Notamacropus eugenii: one gene and its partners. The protein of the gene in region 3 purifies or fractionates together with the protein of the main gene of each other region. This does not show direct contact. Links are inferred from orthologs where the notes say so. Each region holds a gene or a part of one and is shown on either strand. Other genes may lie near its edges.

Region 1 (3,743 bases), about 450 Mb from region 3:
GAGAGCCGTGGACTTTACCTGAGGGGTGAAATGAGACAAATATAAATCATGAGAATTACATATAGTATTACTTTTAAGCGTTCACAGGGTCAACAAGCAGTCCAATGGGAAAACAGCAGATTCTGGGAAGAAACTAGCCTATAGTTCAAAGCTCCAAAAAGCACCTATTTCCCCACTACTGTTTTTGAGGCCTCCAAAGAGAAAAAAGTCACTAAAACAAACCCTTGAATTGGGTTCATGGGAATTGTTCATGTGGTCAAGTGAATGCCATGAACCACTGCATGATAAACTGATCAAGGGCAGAAAGTACTCTGAGGAGGCAGAAAGTACCACTCGGACTAGAGGGGTAAATATCAGCACATTAAGGACCTCAATGCTGCAAAGATGAGCATCTGCTGGAATTAAAGTGTAGGTAGTATTTGCTTAAATTCCATCAAGATAGGGTACAAATAATACCTGCCTTAGAAACAAAGGATTGAATCACAAATGTGAGGAACAAGAGAAATTACCTTCAGGGAAGGGTCACGATCAAACAAGGAATAAAGAGGTTAAGTGAAGATAAAACGCACAAATTGGATTACATAAATGAGAGGAAGCAATTAACTGGGGGGGTGAGAGGGAATCTGCAAAAAGCCTCATTAACAAAGGCCTTATTACCAAGCTATATAAGGAACTGATACAAATTCACAACATTAAGAACCATACTCCAACTGGTAAAGTGTCAAAAGTTATGGGCAGGCAAATCTCAAGGAATTCAAACTAAAAACTTTCCCCACATCACCAATAATTAAAATGCAAAGTAAAGCCCCTCTGAGGTTCTACCTTACATTCATCAGAGGGGCAAAATTGAAGGGTGATGGGAGAAGAGGCACAATGGACCTGTGAGTTGGTCCAGCCAAACTGGAAAACAATTCATTTAGGGTTAGTTATGCCCCGCAAATGCAAGCCCTTTGGCCCAAAGAGATCTATACTAAGCCTAGATACGATGATATAAAGAGACCTTTTTATACAAAAATGATCCAAAGTAGCTTTTCGTGGTGGCAATGCCCTAGAAGCGAGGCATGGCTGAACAAATCTATGGGACGTGAATGTAACACAATGCTACTATGCTTTAAGAAGTTAAAAATGGATTCAGAACTTAGAACTGATGCAGAGTGAAGTAGGTTGGTCGGTTGCGCCCAGGACCGAAATGACATCACTATGCCAGCGGCAAATTTCATTATATCTGACCAGACCGATACAAGCTTGGAAGGCTCCGGCACAGGTCGGGCACAAATGGCCCATGTGCACATTTGGGGTGAATTCTCTAAATCTGTGCACCATGCCTTCTTTGCTGAGAGCACAGCAGCTTCTCTGATGCGCCGCAGCCCGTTCTGGGCCAGCGTCCCCCAGGTCACACGGTGACTTGCAGAACGAAATAAACAGAACCAGACGCTATCACTTGCTTTGTAAAAGTAACGACTCTAAATCAATCACCGCTCAAGAAGGAGCTGGGCGGACAGCGAGGTGTGACCGCGGGCAGATCCACGTCATCTCTGTTAGACGGGGCAACGATGCCTCCCGGCCAGGTCCGCACGGAGGCTCAAAAGCCAGTCCCTTACCTCCTAGCATCCGGCCGGCCACTTCCAGGGTGCACAGGGGCTGCACCCCGCACTGGCCCAAGATGGCTTCATCTTCCAGCGGCGAGCCCCCTAGAAGCAGGACCTGGTCCTCGGGGGCGATGCCCTCCAGGGACGCCACATGGGCCTGGAAGACAGAGAACCACCGGGCTCGGGGCCGCCCGCGGCCTGGGAGGATCCATCCCTCCCTGCCTCCCCCCAGCGCGGCGGCCCGGCCTCGCTTACCTTGATCTGGGCGACGGCCTCCTGCCCGGTCACCTCGAGGGTGTGCAGCGCCTGCGCGCGGACGAACAGCTGCATAGCGGCGACTGTGGGGGCACAGAAGCGGGGCTGAGGCCCGGGGCGGGGGCGAGCGGCGCTCGAACGGGCACAGGCCCGGGGAGGGAAGAAGGGCTGAGGCCTGGCCGGGGAAGGGCCGGGCCGGATGACCGCCCCGCCCTGGACTCGGGGGACGCCTCGTGCCTCGGCCTCCCCGCTTCCCTGGCCTGGGGTCGCGCACTTACCTCGGACGCGCTAGTCCTGCTTCCGTCGCGGAGAAGATGGAGCCCAGAAAGAGAGGGCGGAGGCGAGCGCGCGCACGTTAGTCGCAACACGCCGTCGGCGTGATTGCGTAAGGGACGCGCACGTCCCCTTTAGCCAATCGGAGCGATCGTAAGAAGGAAGGGCGGAGGAAGTCGCGCGTTCGAGCCGGGGTTGACCCGAGGGAAAGGGAGGCAGGGCCCGGCTCCGCGTGCTTCGGCGCCTGCGCGAGGAGGGCAGTGGGCGGGGCTAGAGAGGAGGCGGAAGTCCTTACCCAGGCTGAAGGGTGCTGCGGTATGGCGGCAGCGGTGGTTGTATCGTACCTGCGTGCCGGGCTGAGGGCTGGCGGGCGGCGAGGACGCCCGGCCTGCGGACTCCGCTGGCAGGTGAACGCGGCCTCGCCTGTGTCTGGGGGGAGGGAACCCTGTCGAGCAGTCTGATCTCTAAGCGTCGTTTTCAGCCCCGAGCGTCAGAGCCTCTTCTCGGGCCCCGAGGTTCAAGTGGGGAATCTGAGGCCCTGAGAGGCCCGGGCCTGCTGACCCCTGACCCTTAGCATGTCGGCTCTGGAAAGGACCCCCGAGACCCACAAAGGCCGAGATCACGCCGGGGAACCGCGGTGCAGCCGCGCTTGAACCCTTACCGGGTCCTCTTTCCAGCACACCCGGCACGCAGTAGGCACCTAATAATTGCTGCCTGGCTGCGGCCGACTTTGGGGGTCCAGGACCCCCCCGGCCTCGGTTTCCCGCTTTGTGAAACAAGGGGCTGCCCCCTACCCAGTGTCGGGGCCCTGGGGGCGCTGCCGCGGGGTCTCGCGTGGAGTTTCCCGGGACCCACCTCGAGGGGCCAAGCCGGGAGGTGGGGGTGGGGGGGTGTGCGTCCTCGAGGCGGGCGGGCCGCGCCGCCACCCTCCGACCCTTACCCAATCACCGTAGCGATGTCAGAGGCCGAGGGACCACCCCCCATTGAGTCTGTGCCCCTGGGGCCCGGCCCAGTGCTGGGGACTCCGCCGGCCATCAGTGACATGGAGGCGCCGACCCCGAGAAAGGGGTCCTCCGAATGGCCAGATCTTCCAGGTGAGAAGCCTCGGGAGAGGAAGGTCTTCCAGGGGAGTGACGGGTAAAGAAATCTGGGGAGTCAGGAGCAGGGCCTGGAGGAGAGGCCGGTGAGGAGCTGACCCAGACTCCCCGGGGTTCCCTGCCTCCAGATGCCCTCCAGGCTGCGCAGGCTTGGTGGGTCCTTGGCCGAGTGAGCCCGGGCTAGGGAGGCCCCTGCCGGGGTCCAGGCCTGAGGCCATGAGCCTGGAGAAACTGAGCCTTCCTCTTGTTTGCTACCTCTGGTCACAACCATTAGAAAATAAGGGAGAAAACTGGGATTCATCAAAAGTCACTGAAACTAAACTGACTGGCAGTGGGGGTGGGGGGAGGCTTTTCCTTTCCAGGGACCAAGCCTGGTTCCCCCAATTATACAGCATGGTTTCTTGTGTTGTTACTCAGGTTTCTGTTCTCGTGGCATCTTCCCCTCGGCATCCTCCAAGTCTCGCACATCTTCCCTCCCTCCCTTGTTACTTGGCCACTCTAAAAGGTGGTCTGGCTATTTTGGTGCTAC
Region 2 (3,743 bases), on a different chromosome or scaffold from region 3:
TTGCCTGGGACAGACTGAGACCTGGGAAAGACCTTAATTAAAAAAGGCCAAGATCTCCCACTACATCAGGGGCCACCGCCAGTCATTTGGCACTGGACCCAGAGGGCTCTGGAGGAGAGAATGGGGCTGGTGACTTTGCGCAGCCCTGTCTCACTTCAGTCCAACTCCCTTGCAACAAAGGACAAACCACTTATCCTGTATGGCTTATTTGCATATTTTCCCCATTAGATTGTGAGCTCCTCACAGCCAGAAGTCTTTTGCCTCTTTTTGTATCTCCAGAGCTTGGCACATAGTAGGGGCGTAATAAATGTCCTGACTTTGACAAAGCAGCTAAGCTCTCTGCGATTCAGATTCCTCATTTGTAACATGGGAATAACGCCTGCTGCACAGGGTTTGTGGGGAGGTTTACTGAGGTCACATTTCTTGCCTCCAACTCAGGGCCTCAAGAGGTCTGTGTAACGGTGTCGGCACTGAGCAGGGTGACCTCAGGCTCTCGGCGTCCTTCACTGTAAGATGGGTATAAACCCTCCCAATGCCAGTGTAGGAAGCTCCAGGATCCAGCTGTCATTAATGAAGGAGGGCCATCCGCAAGCCTCACAACAGCGTGTAAGAGTGAGCCGGTGGCAGAGTTTAGCTCCAGCTAGGACCTGGTTCTCTCAAAATTAACGCATTTTCCCCAGTTGCTAGGTGGTGCACCGCAGTCAGGAAGACTAATCTCGTAGAGTTCAGACGCTTACTGGCTGTGTAGCCCTGCTTGTCTCAGTTTCCAATAAGCTGGAGAAGAAAATAGCAAACCAAGAAAACCCCAAATGGGGTCACAGAAAGTTGGACGTGACTGAGCTGACGGAACAGTAAGACAGGAAAAAAAATGACAAATCATTCTTCCAGCCAACAGGGGCGCTCAACTGCGGCTCCACTGGCACACCCAACTGCGCAGCCGCTCTCCTCTTCCCTCGGAATGGAGGAAGTCGTTGATACCAAGGGGCCCGACTCGCCCCCGCCTCTGCCCGAGGCCCCGCCCCTGGTCCCAAACCTTCTCCATTCTTTCCTAAGTCCCACTCCTTCGCCCTCTCTTCCCAGGACCCCGCCTTTTTCTTTCTGGCCTTGCCCCATCTCCTACTTTCTCTCTTCCCAACCAACCTTATCCCCTCTGTTCCATCCCCTCACTCTGAGCACGTCCGTTCCATTACGTAATCTCCCTAGCTCCTCCTCCCCTCCGCCTCTCCGTCTCCTCGATTCCAGCCTGTCTCTCTTCTCTTCCCAGCCGTAGGAGCGATGCTTTACGACACTGTCGTCTAACGGCGGGTCTTTACGGCAGCGACCGGCGGCAGGACGGCAGCGGCCGTGGCAGCGGGAGCGGGAGTTTGGGCGTCAGTGGGGGCGGCAGTGCTGGACGGAAGCGGAGGGGGCGACGGATCCGAGCGTTTAGGCCAGGCCAGGGCCGGGGCGCGGGGCCGGAGGCGGCGGCGGCGGGGGGGTTGATGCCCGGCGGCGGGGGGAGCCCGGCGCCCTGCAGTCTCCTGGCCGCCTCGGAGCCGCGGGGGGGCGAGGAGGCAGCGGCGGCGGGGCCCGGCTCGGGCGGCCCCGGGGGCTCCTCTTGCGGCCCCGGGCTCGGCGGCGCCGGCGGCGGCCCCGGCGGCAGGATGAGTCTGACCCCGAAGGAGCTCTCCAGCCTGCTGGGCATCATCTCGGAGGAGGCCGGGGGCGGCAGCACCTTCGAGGGCCTGTCCAGCGCCTTCCATCATTACTTCAGCAAGGCGGACCACTTCCGCCTGGGCTCGGTGCTCGTGATGCTGCTGCAGCAGCCGGACCTGCTGCCCAGCGCGGCGCAGCGCCTCACGGCGCTCTACCTGCTCTGGGAGATGTACCGCACCGAGCCGCTGGCTGCCAACCCCTTCGCGGCCAGCTTCGCACACCTGCTGAACCCGGCGTCCCCGGGCCGGGGCGGCCAGGAACCGGACAGGCCGCCGCTCTCAGGTACGGAACTGCCACCCGGCCCCGCTCCGGCGCGGAGCGTGTCCTGGGGCGTTGGAGCGTCTCGGGGGCTATCTCGGCAGGTGTGCTAGTGGGCTGTGAGCCTGTCATGGCCCCCCCTTGGCTCTGTGTCCTGGGCGACTGAGCCTGTCATGGCCCCCCTTGGCTCTGTGTCCTGGGCGACTGAGCCTGTCATGGCCCCCCTTGGCTCTGTGTCCTGGGCGGCTGAGCCTGTCATGGCCTCCCCGCCCCCCACCGGTGTTCTCAGCTGGACAGTGAGGAGTTGTGCTGCCCCATCAGGGGCAAAAAAAAAAGTATGCTTCAAAAAGCATTGCTGTATAGTTTTAGGATTTGTCAGTAAGCATTTATTATGTACCTATTTATTAATTACCTATTAGTAACTATCACAGGCACTGAGGATCCCGAAATAAAATGAAGCTTTCAGGGAGCTTGTATTCGTTTGGGAAATTAACAAATGCAAATATAATTAAATATAAAACTTATACAAAGTAACTTCCAGGAGAGTAAGCACTAGCAATCAAAAGGACCAAGAAAGGCTTCTTGTAGGAAGTGGTCCTTGAATTTAGGAGAGTAGAGATTCTGAAAGAAGAGTGGAAGTGACGAGGTTGTAGATTCCATCAATAGGTGGACAGTCTGGAGGTAGAGCATCAGTCTCAGCAAGGAGGTCAGTATAGCTAGAATAAAAAGGAGAAATACGTAACATCTGGAAAGCTAGCTTGTGAAGGACTTGAGTGCCAAAGGGAGGAGTTTTTATTTTAGACTAAAAATAGTAGGGTACTAGTAATAGCTACCCCAGCTTTTTGAGCCAGGGAGTGACATTGTCAGGTCTAGATTTTAAGAATTTCACTTTAGCAGCTGTGTGGAAGTTGGAGTGGAGAAGAATAACTTTTATTTGAGTTAATATGAAACAAATTGGCTCTGCTGTAACTTTTAAGTCCCACGGAGGAATGGATAAACAGGTTAGAGGATTTCAAGAGAATTCTTTTAAAAGTGTACTTGTCCAATTGTGTGTCCTAGTGGAAATAGACCTGGACTAGGAATTAGACCAGTATTCTAATCCAAGCTTGTTGCTTATCTTTGGCACCTTTGACCAAGCTGCTTCACCACTTTGGACTTCAGTTTCCAAATAATTTCCAAAATGATTGAGACTAAGAGACCTCCAAAGTACTTTCTAACCGTAAATATTAAGACCTTAAGTTTGAATAATAAATAGTCTGCTTTTCTAGCCTTATCTCAACCAAGCTGAACTACTTTTTCCCATTCTCTTTCTTGATAGTTTTTATGTAAAGTTTTCAAATCATTTTCATTATCTGTAGTTTTAAGTCTAATCTTCATTCTAAGCATTATATGGTGAGAAGGTAGGGATCATACTCAAGTTCATCTTGTCTAAAGTAGATTACTGCATGCCATATATAAAATGAACAGCTATGTAGCAAGGATAAGGATAGATCACCTGGGGCTAGGTTCAGGTGTTTTCTTTAAGGAAAGCTGCTCAACAGAACCAGGAGAACATTATATACACAGTAATAGCCACAGTGTGTGAGGACTGTTTCCGATACACTTAACCCTTCACAGCAATGCAAGTAGAGCACATAAAAGATTGCATGCTATCTCAGGGAGGGAGGGGGAGAAAAGTTAAATCTTGTGGAAGTGATTCTTGAAAACTGAAAACAAATTGAATTTTCAAAAAAAATGTTTTTAATCCCTCAAAAAAAGGGGGGGGGGGAAACTGGTCAATATCTGGGCTT
Region 3 (3,743 bases):
GGACCCCGGCGGGGGAGCGGCTGGCACCACTGGGGCGAGCTTTAAAAGTCCCAGCACACGCGTCCAAGTTTCCACCTGGCTCTGGACCCTTAGGTCCCGGCAGTCGCGGCGGGGGGCCCGGCCTCGGGTGTGTCCGAGGGAGACCGGGTCTCGGCTGCCCGGACGCGGGGCCTCGGTGCTTTTGTTCTCTCTCCTTCCCCAAGGCCTCCTCCACTCCCCCTACTCTCTCCACTTCCCTCCCTCCTCCCTTCCGTTTGTCCCTCCCCACTCCTATCTCGTCTCCTTCCTTTTCCCTTGCTCTCCTCTCCCCCTCCTCCTTCCTGCTTTTCTTCCTGCCCCATTACTCCTCTCTCCTCTTTCCCCTCCTCATTTCCTCCCTCTCTCTATCCCTCCTACTTTCTCTCTCCCCTCCCCATTCCTTGTCTTTCCTCCTCCTCCCTCCCTTTATCTTCTCCTCTTACCTCCTCCCCGCCCCTCCCTCCTCTTGCCTCCTCCCCGCCCCTCCCTCCTTCCTCCTCCCCGCTCCCCTCTTCTCTCCTCCCCGCCCCTCCCTCCTCCCCGCCCCTCCCTCCTCCCACCTCCCCCGCCCCTCCCTCCTTCCTCCTCCCCGCCCCTCCCCCCTCTTGCCTCCTCCCACCCCTCCCTCCTCTTGCCTCCTCCCCGCCTCCTCCCCGCCCCTCCCTCCTCCTCCCTCCTCCCCCGCCCCTCTCTTCTTCCTCCTCCCCGCTCCCCTCTTTTCTCCTCCCCCGTCCCTCCCTCCTCCCCTCCCCTCCCTCCTCCCACCTCCCCCGCCCCTCCCTCCTTCCTCCTCCCCGCCCCTCCCTCTTCTCACCTCCCCCGCCCCTCCCTCCTCCCCGCCCCTCCCTCTTCTCACCTCCCCCGCCCCTCCCTCCTCCCCGCCCCTCCCTCTTCCCTCCTCCCCGCCCCTCCCTGCTCTCTCCTCCCCGCCCCTCCCCCCTCCTCTTTCCCCTCCACTCCCCTCCTCGTCCTCCTCCCTTCCGAAGGGGAGGAGCCACGGCGGGGTCTCGGCCCAGAGCCGCGGCGGCGGGCAGGGGCAGCTGCGGCGTCTACCGCGGGAGAGAGGAGGAGGAGGAAGAGGAGGAAGAGGAGGAAGAGGAGGAAGAGGAGGAAGAGGAAGGCGCCCAGGACCCCGGGCGGCGGGGAGGCGGCGGCGGCGGCGGCGCAGGAAGAGGCTGCCCAACAAGATGGCCCCTGCTGCCGGAGCGGCCTCGGCAGCAGCAGGTGGGAGCCGGGAGGCGGCGCTGGCGGCGGCGGGGGCCGTGGCCCGGCGGCCCGGGTCCGAGGCGGCGGTGGCGGCGGCGGCGGCGGGGGCGGCGGCGGCGGCGGGGACCGTGACGGCGGCGGCGGCGGCGGCCGCGGGGGCCCGGAGCTGAGAGGCGCTGCCGCTCGGACCGGCGCGGTGAGTGAGGAGGAGGCCGCCGCGGGCGAGGGGAACAATGGGGGCCGCGGCGGCGAGCGCGGGGAGGCTCCGCTCTCGGCCTGGGCCTCCGCCGCTAGGCCTCAGGCCTCCGCCGGCCTCGAGTGGCTCCGCCGCCCGTGGGGATGGGGGGGTTGGGGAGGCCGGGGCCGGGCTCCACCCTGCCCGCGGGGCGGGCATCTGCGGACGCGCCCGAGATGGTTTCCAAGGACCCCGCGGTGGTAATGGTGGGAAACCTGGACGCCGGCTCCTCGATCGAGTGATTAATTGATTGATTGATTGATGGATTGATTGGGGCTGGGGGCTGCTTGGACCTGCTGGAAATGCCCCGCCCCTCCATAAGCCCGCGGCCGCGCTGAAGAGCCGCCTCCTCGGTCAGCTTGCGACCCCAGGGGAGGGGGTCTCCGGGCTAACCCCGCTTGGGCCGGGCCCCGGACCCGGGGTGGGGGGGTGTCTGTATGTCTCGGTGTTTCCTTTGGGCCCGTCCCCGCGTGGTGGGGAAGGGGAGAGACGGGCTTGCCTGCCTCTGCCCCCCATCGTCCGTCCGGGCCCTGGGGAGGGGGCCCTCCTGGGGCGTCTCTGCACTGTTTACGTCCTAAAGTGACAGAACTGGAGGCAGCACGGTCACGTGTGCAAAACAAAAAGCACCGAATTCCCCGTAAATAGGATTCCCCTTCATTTGGACGATAATCCCGCGTGGCAGGAGAAATGCCATGAAATCTGGCAGAGGACAAAACCCCTCTCTGCAGTGAATCTGTCTCTCCAAGACACATGTGGTCAGACCCAGGAACACAGCTCCTGCCCTCCTGGCTCCCCAGAGTGTGCTAGGATTTTGCTTTTCAGTCCTTGGCTTGGAGTCATTCAATGCCAACCTTTCTCTTTCCGAATTGGTTGGAAATTTGGATGTTTGGTTTGGGTGGATTATTTTTTTTTTTTGTGAAGGAATGAAGTATTCATTTTTTTGGAGTAAAAATTTTGCCAACAGAAATGGCAACATGACGGTTTTTGCTCTGTCCTGTAGTGCCATTTTTCTAAAAGTTCTGTCTTATACCTGCCTTTTGCACCGTATCTGATTTTTTTAGGGGCACAGACATTTTAATCCATTTATAGGGATAAGAAAAAGGAGCCCTGTGATATTTTGTGCTTGGAGTTTGCGAGTGTAGGCACTAATGTTCAAGAAGCTTGAATACATCAAAGGAAAACATTGTTCTAAGCATTCCTCTGCCCAGGAGAAATGCTCATTTCTGTCCTAAAGGCAAGATTTATATTCTAACACCTTTCACCTATTGGATTCTAACATTATAATTCAGCTTGGACTCAGGCTTCTTGTCATTGAAAGTTGATGCCTAAAGAGTGTTTTTCATTTTGTAAGGTTAAATCAGCATTTTATTTTCCAGTGTATGTATCCCTAATCGGCATTTAGAAGAATGGACAGTGAAGAAATACTTCAGTTTAGGGAAAAGCAGTTCTACATTGGCCTTGAAACTGTGCTTCCTTACTATGGTCTTGGGAGACTTAAAGTATAACTCTTTTGCCTTCTTTTTTTTTTTTTTTTGCCTGACCTAAATATCTTATTCTGTGCCTCTTAATGTAAGGTGGGTATTTTTTACTTTCATTGAACACTTGTGTTTAGTTCCTGCTCTAGTAAGTATGGTTTTGCAAAGCAAATCTATGTTTGTCTTTTTCAACTGAGTATTTTCGGGTTAACTGAAAGACGTTTGAAGGAAGTGATAAATTCCTCTCAAATCCTTCACATAATATATTTCATCTCAGTTAAGGTCCTAGTACTGAGTACCACATCTTATTGTCATTGTGTTTTGGTCCACCTCTACACTGGTACAAACTCTGTCACCTCTGTAACTTCAAGTCTTAGTGACTTGGAACAATGAGAAGTTGTGGCTTACTTTCCTGATCACAACTAGTCTGTGTCAGGTAGAACTTAAATCCAGGTATCCTTGCATCCAAAGACAATTCTTTATCCACTCTTGCTCTCTGTAGGCAAGTTTAAAAATATACAAGGTTAGAGTCCTTTGGAAATAAAATCTAATTGTGTTAGACTGGGGATAATTTACCTGATAAGTAACAACTTTAGCCAGTTATGGTAGGAATTTTGTATTTGCACTTAAATGAGCAAAGTAATTATGAATTAAAGTTTGGTACTTTCATATTGAGTGATACAGAATCATGATTTTTTCCTGAGTAAATCATTTTAGATCTATTAATTGCTATAGAAATACACCTTTTCAGTGCTATCCAATACTGTGCAAGCCTGTGTTACTCAGGAGACGATGACTAAATGTATTTA

What was found.
Region 1: the proteins of RC3H1 (region 3) and FAU purify together in Homo sapiens (affinity purification with mass spectrometry; 3 studies listed by BioGRID, with this or other methods). This does not show direct contact. The link is inferred for Notamacropus eugenii from reciprocal best matches to the Homo sapiens genes RC3H1 and FAU.
Region 2: the proteins of RC3H1 (region 3) and CNOT11 purify together in Homo sapiens (affinity purification with mass spectrometry, with the first as the bait; 4 studies listed by BioGRID). This does not show direct contact. The link is inferred for Notamacropus eugenii from reciprocal best matches to the Homo sapiens genes RC3H1 and CNOT11.

What each region holds. Positions count from the first base shown.
Region 1 is NC_092873.1:17,821,178-17,824,920, forward strand, and holds the start of FAU (ubiquitin-like FUBI-ribosomal protein eS30 fusion protein), read right to left. Parts: upstream 2,355-3,743; 5' UTR 2,123-2,354; intron 1,928-2,122; 5' UTR 1,920-1,927; coding exon 1,845-1,919; intron 1,747-1,844; coding exon 1,602-1,746; intron 19-1,601; coding exon 1-18. Other genes in the region: MRPL49 (large ribosomal subunit protein mL49), read left to right, coding at 2,435-2,524.
Region 2 is NC_092877.1:174,374,971-174,378,713, reverse strand, and holds the start of CNOT11 (CCR4-NOT transcription complex subunit 11), read left to right. Parts: upstream 1-1,443; 5' UTR 1,444-1,481; coding exon 1,482-1,977; intron 1,978-3,743. UniProt on the Homo sapiens protein: Component of the CCR4-NOT complex which is one of the major cellular mRNA deadenylases and is linked to various cellular processes including bulk mRNA degradation, miRNA-mediated repression, translational repression during translational initiation and general transcription regulation.
Region 3 is NC_092873.1:472,383,346-472,387,088, forward strand, and holds the start of RC3H1 (roquin-1), read left to right. Parts: upstream 1-1,000; 5' UTR 1,001-1,242; intron 1,243-1,334; exon of another isoform or gene 1,335-1,420; intron 1,421-3,743. UniProt on the Homo sapiens protein: Post-transcriptional repressor of mRNAs containing a conserved stem loop motif, called constitutive decay element (CDE), which is often located in the 3'-UTR, as in HMGXB3, ICOS, IER3, NFKBID, NFKBIZ, PPP1R10, TNF, TNFRSF4 and in many more mRNAs.